Linked DNA regions of Drosophila melanogaster. The protein of the gene in region 2 purifies or fractionates together with the protein of the main gene of each other region. This does not show direct contact. Each region holds a gene or a part of one and is shown on either strand. Other genes may lie near its edges.

Evidence for each region.
Region 1: the proteins of Xpc (region 2) and Gnf1 purify together in Drosophila melanogaster (affinity purification with mass spectrometry, with the first as the bait; one large-scale study listed by BioGRID). This does not show direct contact.

The regions. Positions count from the first base shown.
Region 1 is NT_033777.3:4,904,800-4,910,751, reverse strand, and holds Gnf1 (germ line transcription factor 1), read right to left. Parts: upstream 4,131-5,952; 5' UTR 4,039-4,130; coding exon 4,030-4,038; intron 3,964-4,029; coding exon 2,633-3,963; intron 2,571-2,632; coding exon 1,662-2,570; intron 1,604-1,661; coding exon 826-1,603; 3' UTR 671-825; downstream 1-670. UniProt on the Drosophila melanogaster protein: The elongation of primed DNA templates by DNA polymerase delta and epsilon requires the action of the accessory proteins proliferating cell nuclear antigen (PCNA) and activator 1. This subunit binds to the primer-template junction.
Region 2 is NT_033778.4:15,309,878-15,317,788, reverse strand, and holds the start of Xpc (xeroderma pigmentosum, complementation group C), read right to left. Parts: upstream 6,280-7,911; 5' UTR 6,010-6,279; coding exon 5,822-6,009; intron 5,757-5,821; coding exon 4,972-5,756; coding exon of another isoform or gene 4,952-4,971; exon of another isoform or gene 4,825-4,951; intron 3,172-4,824; coding exon 1,175-3,171; intron 1,110-1,174; coding exon 642-1,109; intron 581-641; coding exon 412-580; intron 356-411; coding exon 78-355; 3' UTR 1-77. Other genes in the region: CG8152 (uncharacterized protein), read left to right, coding at 6,739-7,749. UniProt on the Drosophila melanogaster protein: Involved in DNA excision repair. May play a part in DNA damage recognition and/or in altering chromatin structure to allow access by damage-processing enzymes.

The DNA.
Region 1 (5,952 bases), on a different chromosome or scaffold from region 2:
ATATAGAACGCGAAACCCGTCGAACGTGGCAGGTATTCCCGGAAAATCAAGTGGATCGCGCACTCTGGCAGTTAATCGAATGCTTCGCTTGAATTTGCCCGCACATGCTGTCCCCTGACTTTTCTGGCAATTTTCACTGCATTTTCCGCTGCCCAGTACGTGCATCCGTTCGCGTTGACATCGGGGAAAAAACTCAGATACGATACTCTTTGGCGCTACCACGAGATAGCAGGGCTGCCGAAACATCGATTGCTGCATTATCGATTGTGCTTCGCAACATCATCGATTTGTTTCAGGCCAAAAACGTTATTATGTTATAATATATTTATAATAATTAATTAAGTATAAATTAAAGACTTAAATTAATTTTTAAATTGTAAACGTATTTTTCACAAATGTAAATGTACGATAGTACAAATTAGTTTAAATTATAGAGCATGGAGTGACCATCACTGATCGCGTTACCAACAATTTTTTTTAAATAAATTTGAGCTTGACATATTCGCGCTCTTGATCCTTATACAGTTAAAGCAAACAATTGATCAATTAAAAAATCATCATCTCAATTCTTTCGTAGTATTATTCATACAGACAATTATTTTATTACCAATTTTTCCCTTTTTAGTTTACACCTACGCCACTCAGTGTTATAATAAAATGTTTTGCAATTCAAGCACATATTTTATTGGTAAATATATATTTTCAGCAGTATAAACAGTGTCGGCCAGTGCCGGCCATTCATGAGATTTTAAACAAAAACTACTTACAAATGGGAAATTTGATGGCAAAAAAATCATCATATAATATAGGAAATCGTTAGTGCATTCACTTTTTGGCCTTGGCCTTAGACTTTGAAGCCGTGGAAGATGTAGCCTTTTTGGATCCACCAGACGCTTTTGACGTAGTTGTCCTCTTTTTGGCTTTGATCAAACTATCCAGCTCTAGGTTGTCCTTGTCCTCGTCTTCCTCTGATGATAAGTGGCCACCAGCTCCGTCCTCTTCGCCCGGACCCTCGTCCAAGTAATCGTCATCCGCTCCAGCAGCCTCTGATTTCTTCTTTTTGATGCCTGCTTGAGCGGAATAGGAGTATGCCATAACCTCCTTGTTGTAGGATCGCGTTAAAGCGGCTTTTACTCTCCCATCCACTGCGTCCAGTGGGGATTTCTTGCCGGGCCAGGATGTAAGCTCGACCAGCGAGTCCAGATCCTCACGGAGTAGATGGTAATCCTTCATAACGTCTAAAGCAGCGGGCACACCCTCCTGCCCATCCTTTGCAAGAGGTCGCACAATATTATCCAGAAGGAAGGGGGCGTAATCCAGCCTCACTGATAGCCTTGAGCCCGAGGTGCAGACCCTAGTATGATCATGCAGCTCCTGGGCCAGCCTGGCACGTTTTCCAGACTTGGAATTCTTGCCCAGCCACCCGGGAAAGTTAATCTGTCCAGTGAAGTGGCCACACATGTGCTCGCCAGGAAGGACCGAGCTGAAAAAGGCCTGAGTGGGTAGAAGACTCCAAGCAGAATTCGCACGAATACGCTTTTCAACAAGGTCACCCAAGCTTAGGGCATCTGCCGTAGCTGCCACCTTTGCCAGGACATCCTTTCTGCAAAGAGTGAAGTTGGTGAATGGGTACGCCCTTGGCTTAGGTAAACTAGACTTACTTGTTTCCCTGTGGTAGGACCTGCAGATAGTTTTGCTGCACAAAGAGCGGGGCCAGGCTGTAGTCGTGAAAGAAAAGGTCGCTCTTGTCGGCAAAAGACATGTGTTTGTGCTCGTCCGCGGTGAAGACTTTTCGCACCACCTCCCAGGGTCCCAGCTTCAGATCCTTGGTGGCAACCTGCTGCCCTGACTTTTGGGAAGCGTCTTCCTTGGCGCTCAGCAGGGCAATGTGGTTAATGGATTGCCGAATATCGTTGTTGGTAGCCGCTATGATTTCTTCCACTTTGGCCGGTGATATCTTTACTTTTTCCTTAAAGCAGATGCTCATTATTTTCCCTTTGATTTGCTCGAGGCGAGGCCTCTGAAATCGCAGATCGTAGCAATAGTTAACCAGGGATCGAATTTTTGGATGGTTGCGATCATTACACATGCAAATAATTGGAATAGAGCTATCCTTGATCAAGGCAATCAGCTCCTGCATTCCACCACGGTCCTCGTTACCGGCCATGCCATCAACTTCGTCCATTATGAGCACATGCTTGCGGGAGACCGCTTGGCCTTGCCCTGTAAAGTAACCGGAGAGGGATTTGTTGCTCAGCAGCGTGGACACTTCATCCTTGAGCAAGCGTTTGCTGCGTGTGTCGGAGGCGTTGAACTCCACCGCATCGAAGCCAAGCTCCTTCACTACCAGAGTCGCCGTCGTGGTCTTTCCTATTCCAGGGGGTCCCGAAAGTAGGGCCGCCTTGTAGAAGCTGCCGTCGTCGTTCTTGGCCCAAGGATTGGGCCGTTGGGGCTTCTTGTTTCCATCATGGTTAACATACCACTTGGACAACCAGTTCATCAGCCTAGGAAAATTAAAATAATGTAAAACTTTAACCCTCTCCTGTTTGGCTTTCAGTTTCAAATTGTGACTGTATAATAAATATATAACTTTGAAAGTGGAAGCTACCATTTATACATTTAGGTTACTCACTTGGTCACGTTGCTGGCGGCTCCTGCCTGGCCAACGATTTCTTTTATGCTCGTAGGCTTGTGCTTGTCCACCCAGGCCATCCCGACCACATCCAGAGTCTTCAGATCGGCAGTTCTTGGCGACGGAGGGTGTTCTTTCTGGGAGCTGGGCTCTTTTTTTACTTTCAAGGTAACAGCTGGTACATCATTAAGCTTATCCTTCGTCTCCTTCGGGGAAGTGTGTTCTTCCTTGACTTTATGTTTGGCGATATCATGCTTCTCGCCATATTTCAGTTTAGTGGCTTCCTTCTCCTTTTTATCACTGGACCTTCTAGAAGTCTTGACTTCCTTTTTCCCTTTCTCCTCGGAGCTGTGCTCCTTCTTCGGGCTTTTCTTCTCTTCCTTTACCTGCTTAGCGATTCCTGATTTCTCCCTGATTAGATCGAAGAGCCCGTCCTCGCTGAGAATGGGTATATTGAGTTCCTCAGCCACAGCTAATTTCTTTGGTCCAGCCTCTTCTCCTACGACCAGATACTTGAGTTTCTTTCCAACCACGGTCATCACCTTTCCGCCATACTCCTTGATCACGGACTCCGCCTCCTCTCGTTCCATGGACTCGAGGACTCCGGTTACGACAAAGGTTAAGCCACTCAGACAATCCGGGGATCCCTTTGGAATTTCTTTGCTGCCGGGGTTCAGGCACGAACTGCGGTTTTTGTACTTCTGGTAGAGCACGGCGGAAGCACGTTTACGCTCGTGGCGTTCCTCGTCTGTTAGGACACTGGATTCTAGATCTGCCGCAGGTTTCTCCTTCTTCACACGCGGAGTGGTGGCTTTGGATTTTGTTGACTTGGGTTTTGGCGGTTCCGGGCTGCTGTTCTTTGCTCTTTTAGGCGAGGGAGAGCTCCTGGTTATCGAGTGAACCTTTTTTTCGGGGGCAGCCTCTTTGATACTCTCGTCCAGATCAACTTCCATTAAACTCCGGTCAATGTCTTCGTTCTCGAACTCGAGAACAGCTTTGGTCTTCGGCTTGGGCACAATCACCCGTTTGGTTTCTCCACCGAAAAGCTCCGTAGGATCTACGTGCCGCTTAAGCTTGGAGAGCGCTGGTTTCTGCCCGTTCCTGGCCTTCTTCGCAATCGGTTCCGGTGTGGCGGCCACCACATCATCCTCGCTGGATGCTGTCTTCGAAGCCTTGCGTTTCTTGGTCTCCGGCGGACTGACCACCTCGTCCTCGTCGCTGGAAATTATCACGGCTTTCCTGCGTTTTGGCGCCTTCGACGGCGTCTCTCCATTTTCGGCCTCGGCACTTTTCGCCTTGGCCGGCAGCCGTTTGAAAAAGGAGTCAATGCCCTGGAACAAATGATTTTGTTAAATTGATGTTTTCACCTAGTGCCTGACTGTCTCTACACAACTTACGCGTTGCATTACGGCAGGAATTAATTATTATAAAATTAATGCTGCGAGCTTCAGAATACGGAACAGTGTTACCAGACACGAAATCCCCAGTGTAACCGCGTCGGTGACGATTGAAAAAAACTAGTATAAGTATTTTAAAGAATCAAAAGCACTGAACGTTATCGATAGCTCACTAAATGTGTGTCAAGATACAAAAGGTATAAAGTCGTCTGGGCAGCAAAAAAAAATTCGCAACGGTGAATTGCGAATGAAAAGGAAATAGAATTTATTGTTTTAAGCACGTACAGAAAAGAAAAAAGTCAATTTTATGAAAGAGGCACAAAAACTGGAAAGAAATTAAATGAACATAACACTTGTTGTGTTATTAAATATGATAAATAACCAATAAATCAATTTTGTCATTCTCTGTCACTGTAGCGAGGAATTGAAAAGTATTTTCCACTTTACATTCAGTTGGTTATCTAATCCAGTTGTAATCGATATTCCAACAAAAAAGTTCGGACGGCAACGGGCTGCACGTTGCAAATCTTAAAACTGATAAATCTATTGTTTATATATTTCTTTGTCTTTGATGACTTTGATTTCGTGAACCGTGTTATAATTTTATTTACATGAATGTTAATTTCACCAATTTTTTACTTCAAGTGCAGATCTACAGATCATATCGCATGCGATTTTCGATGTATTTAGCGAATACATCTTTAGCGGAGACATCCTTCACATATATGTATATTTGTTTTTAGCGAAGGCACCCTCCTGATATAAGGTTTTTGTCTTTGATAGAAATCAGAGGGGCTGTAAAATTTTCAAATGCTGAGCTCAATTTTTTGCCGAATACTTAATTACTATTTTATTTAGTTATTTTTATTTTATTATTTAGCTTCAACATATATTCTCTTTTAAATAGTTTGTTGTTCAATGTACAATTGTACACAGACCTGACACAATAGGGTGGCGAAAATAAAGGCGACTTCAGGAATAGAAGGAAGCGTTGAGATATAAAATAATTATTCATATTTCTGTCACGCTTCGAATACCATTATATACCTAAAATTAAGTTACCTTTCAACTGGCTACTCTTATAATCGTATTTTCAACATTATTGACTTATACCCATTACTCGAGGAGTAAAAGGGTATACCACATTTATACTATATATACTATAAACTAAATTTTTGAAGAATTTGATATTTTTTCATAATTTCATAAGTCATGTAAAGTTCTATCGATCTAAATTTGTATCCAAAGCCGCACAAAACTGCCACGCCCACTTTTGAAAACTTAAGATTTTTCTTCGTTTTATTATTTGCCTTGCCAATTTGAATTATTTCAATCAATTATGAAATTTGCGCGTCCGCATTCACTCTAGCTGAGTTACGGGTATCTGAAAGTCGGGGAACTCGACTATAGTATTCTCTGTTTTTTTTTTTTCTCAAAATGCGTTTAATTGGAAGACTGCAATAAAAGGTTTTTGATTTATTTTTTATTACAGTATGAATATGTTCTATATTTGTATAATTGAGCCGGTGCTTACGAAGTAGTCTAGAATGAGCATTTGATATTATTAGTATTACAAGTGGCTAATGCTTAATGCATTATGTACATATGTATTTTGGGCAGAGAAGCCGCTGCTGCTGCTGTTAACATTCGTATTATCCTGGCTTATAAGCCAAGATGATGGGCTTGGGCGTTTCGAACGCCATCACTATGCGAGTAGACTAAGATCCGGAGCAGGAAATGCCAGCCAGTTCGCGATTAGTCTATTAAAGCATATTTGGGCCGAGGCCAATGGGAACTTGGGTCATTTTGGCTAAAAGTTAAATGGTATAAACTAAGCATTATATTTTACACCTGCAGATATACTTTAGGTAACTGCCAACAGGACACTCACCTGTCGAGGGTCTAGTGTCGGTGTTTATATAT
Region 2 (7,911 bases):
TTACGTTTTAAATACAAAAATATCAAAATGCCTTTAAACGAAACAATAATACGAACATAAATCAGAGGCCAAAGAATTCAAAAGTTATATTTTTTCTTGAGTCGCTCGCGAATGAGGAGACCCTTGATCAGCTTCTTCCAGTTTCCGTACACGCGGGTTTCGTACTTCTCCTGCTCCTTGAGAACTTGTACCTGTTGATCCTCTTCCCAGGCAGCAGTGACCACTTCGCGGAATTCCTCGCAAACAATGAAGCCATCGTACATGGGATGACAAGCGCCTTGATGAAAATCGAAGCCAACCACTGCATTGGCACAATCAATATTCAGCTTCTTACAGATGCGCATCAAGCCGGGCACTATAATTGAATTTCGAGGTTATTTAAATAAATTGGTGAGAAGAAACCTTTCTTACATCTCAAATGCACCGTCTTCTTTGGCAGCATGCAGTCCTTAAAGAGCTCAACATTGCCGTAGGCATTTCGCGGCACAATTCCATTCTCTGCAGTTGGGGGCTCGTATTCCTGAGTTTGCCAATACCCGAAGATTTCCAATGGCTGGTCCTTAATAACAGTGCGCGTGAGCTGAAGGATACAACACAATAAAATGAAGCACATATGCATTTAAAAAATGAGCACAACATACCCTATCCCACTTTGGACGTGCCTTAACCACCTTGTACGGCTGTTCGCCAAGCTTCACCACCCGTGCGCTTTTTAGCCATATTTCCCGAGAATGCAGGAGGTGCACACAATCTCTGGAGTACACCGCTTCACCACGGATAAAGCCCAATGTAGGCGCATCTGGTGGATATAGACCCTGGAACTTAAGCAAGTGCCGCTCTAGCACGTACAGCGGATGGTCCTTGAACTCGGAAATTGACTTTGGCAAGGGTTTATCGGAGTGAATGCGACGTAGCTGATCATCCTCTGTTATATCGCGCTTGGTGCGGCGTCCGAGGTAAGGAGCAATAGTTTCATCTAGCCACGCCTTTTCTACACGGGCTTTGCGCACAGTGGTGCTCCAACTGGCGCAGTACCTGGCGGTCACATCCTTCAAACTCTGATCATCCTGAAAGGCGAAGACGTAGGCTAATCCAGGCGTTGCATTTTTCTGCGCAGAAACAAAAATACAATTACTGGATGGAGGGCACGACATTTGGCTTGATAAATACGCACCCTTATTGTGTCCACGCAGTGTAGCTTGCCTTTGAACAGATCTATACAGATCCACTGCTCCTCCACATCTGACCACACTTCCACCCACATGTCAGAGGCGTCCGTTTTCCGATTGAGCCTGGAACCGCCCTCATCATCTGTTGACATCACTCGCCGATCTTTTCGCAGATTCTGTACTGACTTGGGCAGTACAGGAGCCTTTTTCACCGGCTTGGCGGGTTCAAACACCTCATCGGAATCTTGCGAATTTTTCAACTTCTCCAGTTTTGGGCGCTTTTTCGGTAGCGGCACATCGTCACCGCCGTCTAATTGCGGAATGGCTAGACTACTGGCTTTTTGACCTCGGCTTCGTAGCTGACGAGCTGGCAAAGCTTCGGACAGAAAGTTTGGCGAAATTCGCGCCTTAGTTTCCGGCGCCATTTGATGCTTTTGAGGGTCTGAAGTGGAATCGGCTCCGTCGGATTTCTTTTTAAGGAAACTAGGGGATATAAGTACTTTCGGGGACTTGCTCCTTGATCGAGTTTCTCGTGTGTTGCGCTGTTCCTGCAGATGTTTATTCGCAGGACTAGCGTTTTCCGTATCACTATGCTTGGCATTTAGCTGCTTAACTTTGGACAGCATCAGTTTAGGTATAACTGGTGATCCAACCACCTGCGGTTTTTCCTCTGTTTTGGGTTTCACAGTGGCTCTGCGTGTGCGACCTGCCACTGGAGAGAATGTGTCCACAGGAGCCACTTTCGGTTTCTTGCTATCGCCTGATTCAGAAATATTTTGAGTGGTGACCCTTTTTAGAAGGGACGATTGTACTTTAGTTTTAGTTTCGGCAGGGCTTGCGACCTTTTTGTCTTCGAGTTTGGATGAACTTAACTTGGCTGTCTCTTCTTTTAAAGATTTGGAACTTGATGAGGTACTGGGATTCTCCTCAAATGAAGTGTCCGATTTATTGGAACTAAATGAAGATTGATTTTTTGATTTTAAAACCAATTTTGAGGATAGAGTCGGTTTTAATAACTTTTTGGATAATCCCAGTTCTGAATATTCTTCTTTTAGACATTTAGAGCTGGACGACGTACTTGGTTTCTCATCAAAGGAAGTGTCCGATTTGCTGGAGGTGTAGGCTTTTTGATGTTTTGATTTTTCAACCAATTTCGAGGAGAGACTTAGCTCCTTTTTAACCTTCGGAACTGTACCTGATTTCGTGGTTTCTGAACCCTTGGTTGTTGATTTACTGAGTGGTTTAGCCTCAGCTTTTTTTGCATTGTTTTTCTTTTCAGCCTCTTTGGAAATAGTTGACTTACTGCTTTCTTTTTCTGCTGGCTTCCCTGCCTTTTTATCTTTTTTAGGCTTCTCATCCTCGCTTTCCCTTTCGGATTCCACTGTTTGGCTTTTGTTTTTATCATCTGGCCTAAGCTTAATGGGAATCAAATCACTGGCCGCCGGACGCAGTGGCATTGGCTGGAGATTGACAATTAGCCGACAGTGCATGCCCATTCCCCGTGCAAGGGCAATGAATATGAAAATCATATCCTGCTTGCAGCGGGCTTCCTTGCGCTTCACCTGCTCCAGTAAAGCCTCTAATATGGCTTCCTTGGTAGCAGGCGACTGCGCGGAATATAAGTTGGGACTTAGCAGCTTGATTGATGTTTTGAACCACGTGACAAACGACTGCAGATATTTAAGTTCGGTGCCTCGTTCAGTAGGATATGCGTTTCGGCTTGGCAGGAGTTTCAGGGTAGCCTGCATCAGGGAATCTGACTCGCTAAGCAGGCGATTGTACTTTAAGCTGCGAGCTATTTGGCACATTAGGCTGACTTTGTGCAGCAAAATCTGACGGTCCTTGATGTCCCTGTTAAGGCGACGCTTTAGGGCCATCTCCAATTCGTGTTGAGTCTTTTGCTCCTTCGTAGGACGGAGCCCTTCCAGTCCCACGCGTATCTCCAAATCCCCTGAGATGTTCGGCGTCTCGCCATCGTCCTGGTCACTGGATAGATCTGCATCTGCAAAAGGGATTCAATTCGGGGTGATGATGTGACACTGGACTGAATGATGAACTGTGAGATAGACAGAGTTTGTTTAAATGGAGGAGAAAGAGGGGTAAAATATCTAATACTCGAACATTTCAATCGATATAAAGAAAATTGAGATTCCCAATATGAACCATGGATATGATCATATCCATGATTTTGAATTTAAATACATTTGTAAATGAATTAAAATAAACCGGGTAATAAAAATGTTACTAGTAGCAAGTTCGGCACCAATGATTATGTGGGAGGATTGAGCAGGGAAGGCAGGCAAAAAATACCCAGACAGAGAGCATGGATTCCTTTCAACATTTGCATTTATTTATTTATATCTTTTAAAGTGCATTTGAAATTTCAATTATTGAGTTAATTACAATCAACATTCACTAAATTGCGCTAAAATTACGAGTTTCATTTGATTTATTGCATCCATTGTTGGAGTATATCATTAATAAATTAGATTAGAACTCTGCATGCAGATGTTTATATTAAGTGAATACAATTTTGCTAAAGTAAATTCGTTAAACATCAGTTCTAATTCGTTAGCTACTTGTTGATTTCATTGAAACACTTGCCATTGCCATAAAGTAAGTACACAAATAGTTGACTAGGACATTTCACTAGCTTTTACAAATTATTATTTCTATTACTGGGCTGCGATTAAAATCCTTTTGTATCTCATTTTGATTTGGTTAACTAGATTCTTTTTGACTTCAACGTGTTTCGTTGCGTGGCAAACAAAATATAAAAACTGACATAATAAATAAAAGTAAATGCATTTTCTGAGTAAAATATATCATTGTTTAACATATTATTATCAAGAGTGTGTGTGCAGACATTTAAACCACGTTCAGAATTCGGTAGACATTGAGTTTATGCTTTTGTTTTTTTCATCCGTTTAACACGCAGATTGGGCTTAAGCTAGTGCAAAAACGTTTAAAAATGTTCATTTGATTTAATTTTTTTGACATTAAAAAAGATTTTAATAAGCTTTTGTGGTAGATTTTCCTATCGATCATTGTATAGACTTTAATTATTTTTTTAGCGGACAACTAAGTAGCAAATGCCGCAGGAATCTTGATTTTGGCTTGGCATCTCCCAAATTCGGGCTAAACATACAAATGTTGCATTGAAACGTATGCCAAGTACAACGGACTCATGACATGGTTAGGGGGTATAAATAGGTTAGTAAGCCAAGATTCTAGATAAGCGTCTGCAGCATCTCATACGCTAGTTTCTCAGTCTAATCGACTAACAATATGTTACAGTAAATAGGTATATTGTAGATTCATGGCCATTATTTTGACGCGGCTGTTCCAAATGTACATTCTAGCATACAGTTGCGGTAAAAATAAAAGCATTTCCTTGTAACTTCTACGATTTGTATAAATGGGGAAATTGTTAGTGTCAAACTAGGACAATACATTCGAATATGATAAGTCTTAACGGAAAATGCAATATAAATTATTATATAAAATAACACGTTTAAACTCGTTAAAGAATTTGTATACAACACTATATAAAACCATGCTCTTATTTGGACCGCAGCTGCACAGGTAAGTTAGTAATTTCTATCTGTTCACATCGACAAATAAACTTAGTACAAACAAAACTACACAGTCTCATACAGAGCAATTTGGAAGCTTATTTTTATTCATCAGATACCAGAAATGCCAGCGCCACAACCAACTTGGATAAGCATGCTCGACTGCCTTCTGCCAACGCCAACTCTTCCGGGAGCCTGGCTGTCAAACTACTTGCATTTTCGCCTACCTGCCACTTCCTCAAAATCGGAGTCATCAGTATCACCAGCGTTGGCGACCACCGTGGAGACGGGTCGCGTCTTGGTGTGTCGCTTTATTCGCGTTGACTTCGTCTTGCTGAGGCGTGACGGTTCATCAAGGGTCGGAGGCGCTGCTGGTGCTCCTCTTCCCGCCTTCTTACGCTGATTCCCTTCACGTTCCTCCACCTCCACACTCTGGTAGTTTTGGTTCTCGCCCAATGCAAGCAGCGCATTGACATCCATGGTGGCAGCCTGGCTCCTTGGCGGAGTGGCCGTGACATTTCGTTTGCTTAAAGCATCCCTAGTGCGCTCCAAACTGTTTGCGTTCTCCAGGAGACCGCGAAAGTCGAAGGCATTGCCTGCTTTATCCTCGAAGCTGCTCTCGTTGTTATCCTCCGATCCAGAGTCTGAAAGATTTGTGATGCCCGCATTACAATCGAATTGGGGCGCCGGTGACTTCTCTTTTTGGCCGCCGGCAAAGAAGGTTGAGTGCAGATCAAGATCGGCTGGATTTACTAGGTAGTCTTCCACACTGGATTCGCTGCTGGAATCAGCAGGACCGTGCTGATTCCGTGCACCGCTTTCATTGGGCGTTTTGGCGTTTTTTGAACCCGAAGCCCGCGGAGTGTTCTCCTTCTGTTGCGAAGGAGAAGTGGGAAAGGTCTTTGGAGGCGGTCGGTACTTATTGTACAGCTTGGAGCGAAGTGATTGACCAGTGGGCTTGCGTTTCTTCACCGAAGAGCCCTTGATGCCACTTGGTGCCTTGTGATCGCTGCTGGGAAGAGGGGGAATGAAAATTTCAAAATGTACCAGAGCAATGGACCCTTATCCCGTTCTCACCCTCTTTTTCCCGCTACAGCGGAGGATCGTCCACTGGAGCCCGCTGCTCCTCCCTCCGCCTGGAGCTCATCGAAATCGCTGTCATCATCGTCGGAGGACTCGCCTCCCTTGACGTCCTTGCTCGGCTTCCATTCATCCTCGCTGGCCGAGAAGCCCTCGGACACGGAATCCTCCTCCTCGTCGGACATCTTCCTTTTTATCTGGGGCGTTTTACATTTATGTATCGATGCGTGCTACTTAGTTATTGATTTTTACTGCGCAGTTATTCAGGGCACGCGTTACACAAGAATATCCTAAGTTCGTTCTCCTGATTTGATATTTGATTATGGATGTTGGGGGGCAAGTTTAATCCTGCCTGATCTCGGTTTTGGACAGTTTAAATGAATTGCGAAATTCACATTTTCGCGCTTGGTAGAAAACAGACAAAAAGCAGAGGCCGAGAACAGTAGAGATGCGCGCCCACCCACGATGGTATCGATACTTTCGGCTTATCGGGACAATTTATCACCTAAACGAAGATAGTGTTAATAAAATAATGTTTACTAGCCTTATAAAAATTTTTATTTTTCATTTCATTTTTGAGTGACTCTGGGATTTCTTTAATTTTATTTTTATTACTTAATATAATTACTTAATTAATATTATTTTTGTATTTTATATTATTTATTTTTTCAAGAACGCAAAAGAAGCTTAAGAAACTTCACATAGAGCGGTATTAATAGATTTTTGACCGACAGTGTTGACTAAATAATTTCAACAGTGTCATTCATTTTTTATCTCCTAAAATCACCATCTCTATATTCGATTAGTTTGGCTATCGACTTATCTCCAAACGATATTTTTGAGCACTACGCAGCTCTGACGCACATCTGCGAAATGTTTATTTACAAAACGAGTTAGCATCATTATTGTCAAAAATGAATTCTCAAAACGAATTGCATCCAAATTGGCTGGCTCTAACAACATTGCCACTCCAACTGAAGCGATTCGTCCGAGCAGGAGATCCGGATTTTATCGCCGAGTCCCCGAAAGCAGTAAAGCACCAAATCGATGGCTTAAACGGAGCAGAAGCTCGTGAGTTCTACAAGGAGGTGTTGGATGCGCCCACAACCTGCCAACCTAACCTTCCAAGTACCCACAAAACTGCACAAACAAGAAGAGAGCCAGAAAGGATCCTAGTCCCCTTCGACAAAAGCAAATTTTTCCGTTTGGCCACTAGCAACAAAGTAGAGGAGCTGTCTCAAATGAAGGCCTCAGAAGAGGATTTAAATTCTCGGGATTCCTTTGGCTGGACTGCCTTGATGATGGCTGCCTGTGAAGGAGCCACGGAGGCAGTGAGTTGGCTCGTGCAGAGAGGGGTCCAAGTAGAGACCTCAGACAAATCCGGAAACACAGCTCTGAAACTGGCCCAACGAAAAGGTCACTTAGATGTAGTTCATCTTTTGGAATCCCTACCCATTTTAGAGGAAACTAGCGAAGAGGATGAGTCAGTTGATGGCAACAACCCCTTTTACTGTGAAATCTGTAAGAGGGACTACAAAGAAACCCCCTGGCCAATTCATCAAACATCCACAGTGCATCAGTTCAATCTAAAGGCTCTGCCCGCTCATAAGCTCCACAAATTTAACATATCTGCCAAAAATCGAGGACTCCAGCTGATGGTGAAACAGGGCTGGGACCAGGAGCACGGATTGGGACCGAGTCAAAGTGGGCGATTGTATCCCGTCAAGACTGTTCTTCGAAAGCAACGCACTGGACTGGGAATTGAACAGCAGTCGGCAAGGGTCTCCCACTTTGGTGCCTTCGATTTAAACGCTGTTAGGAGAAGGGATCCCATATATCAGCCGAGAAGGACGCGAAGCGATATGCAGAGGGAAAAGGTGCGCGAATGGAAGCGAGAACGGTACCTCCGCAGGGTACTAAGTTAAAGATGGCTTACAGAGAAAGCTAACAAGAATTGTACTATAAATTATAAATGGAGCCAGCCTAAGATGTTTTTTAAGAGCAAAATAATAAATTTAATTATTAATAATGGTGATTTATGAATAGTAGATTTATAAATTTCTCATTAGAAGGAATACAATATTAGT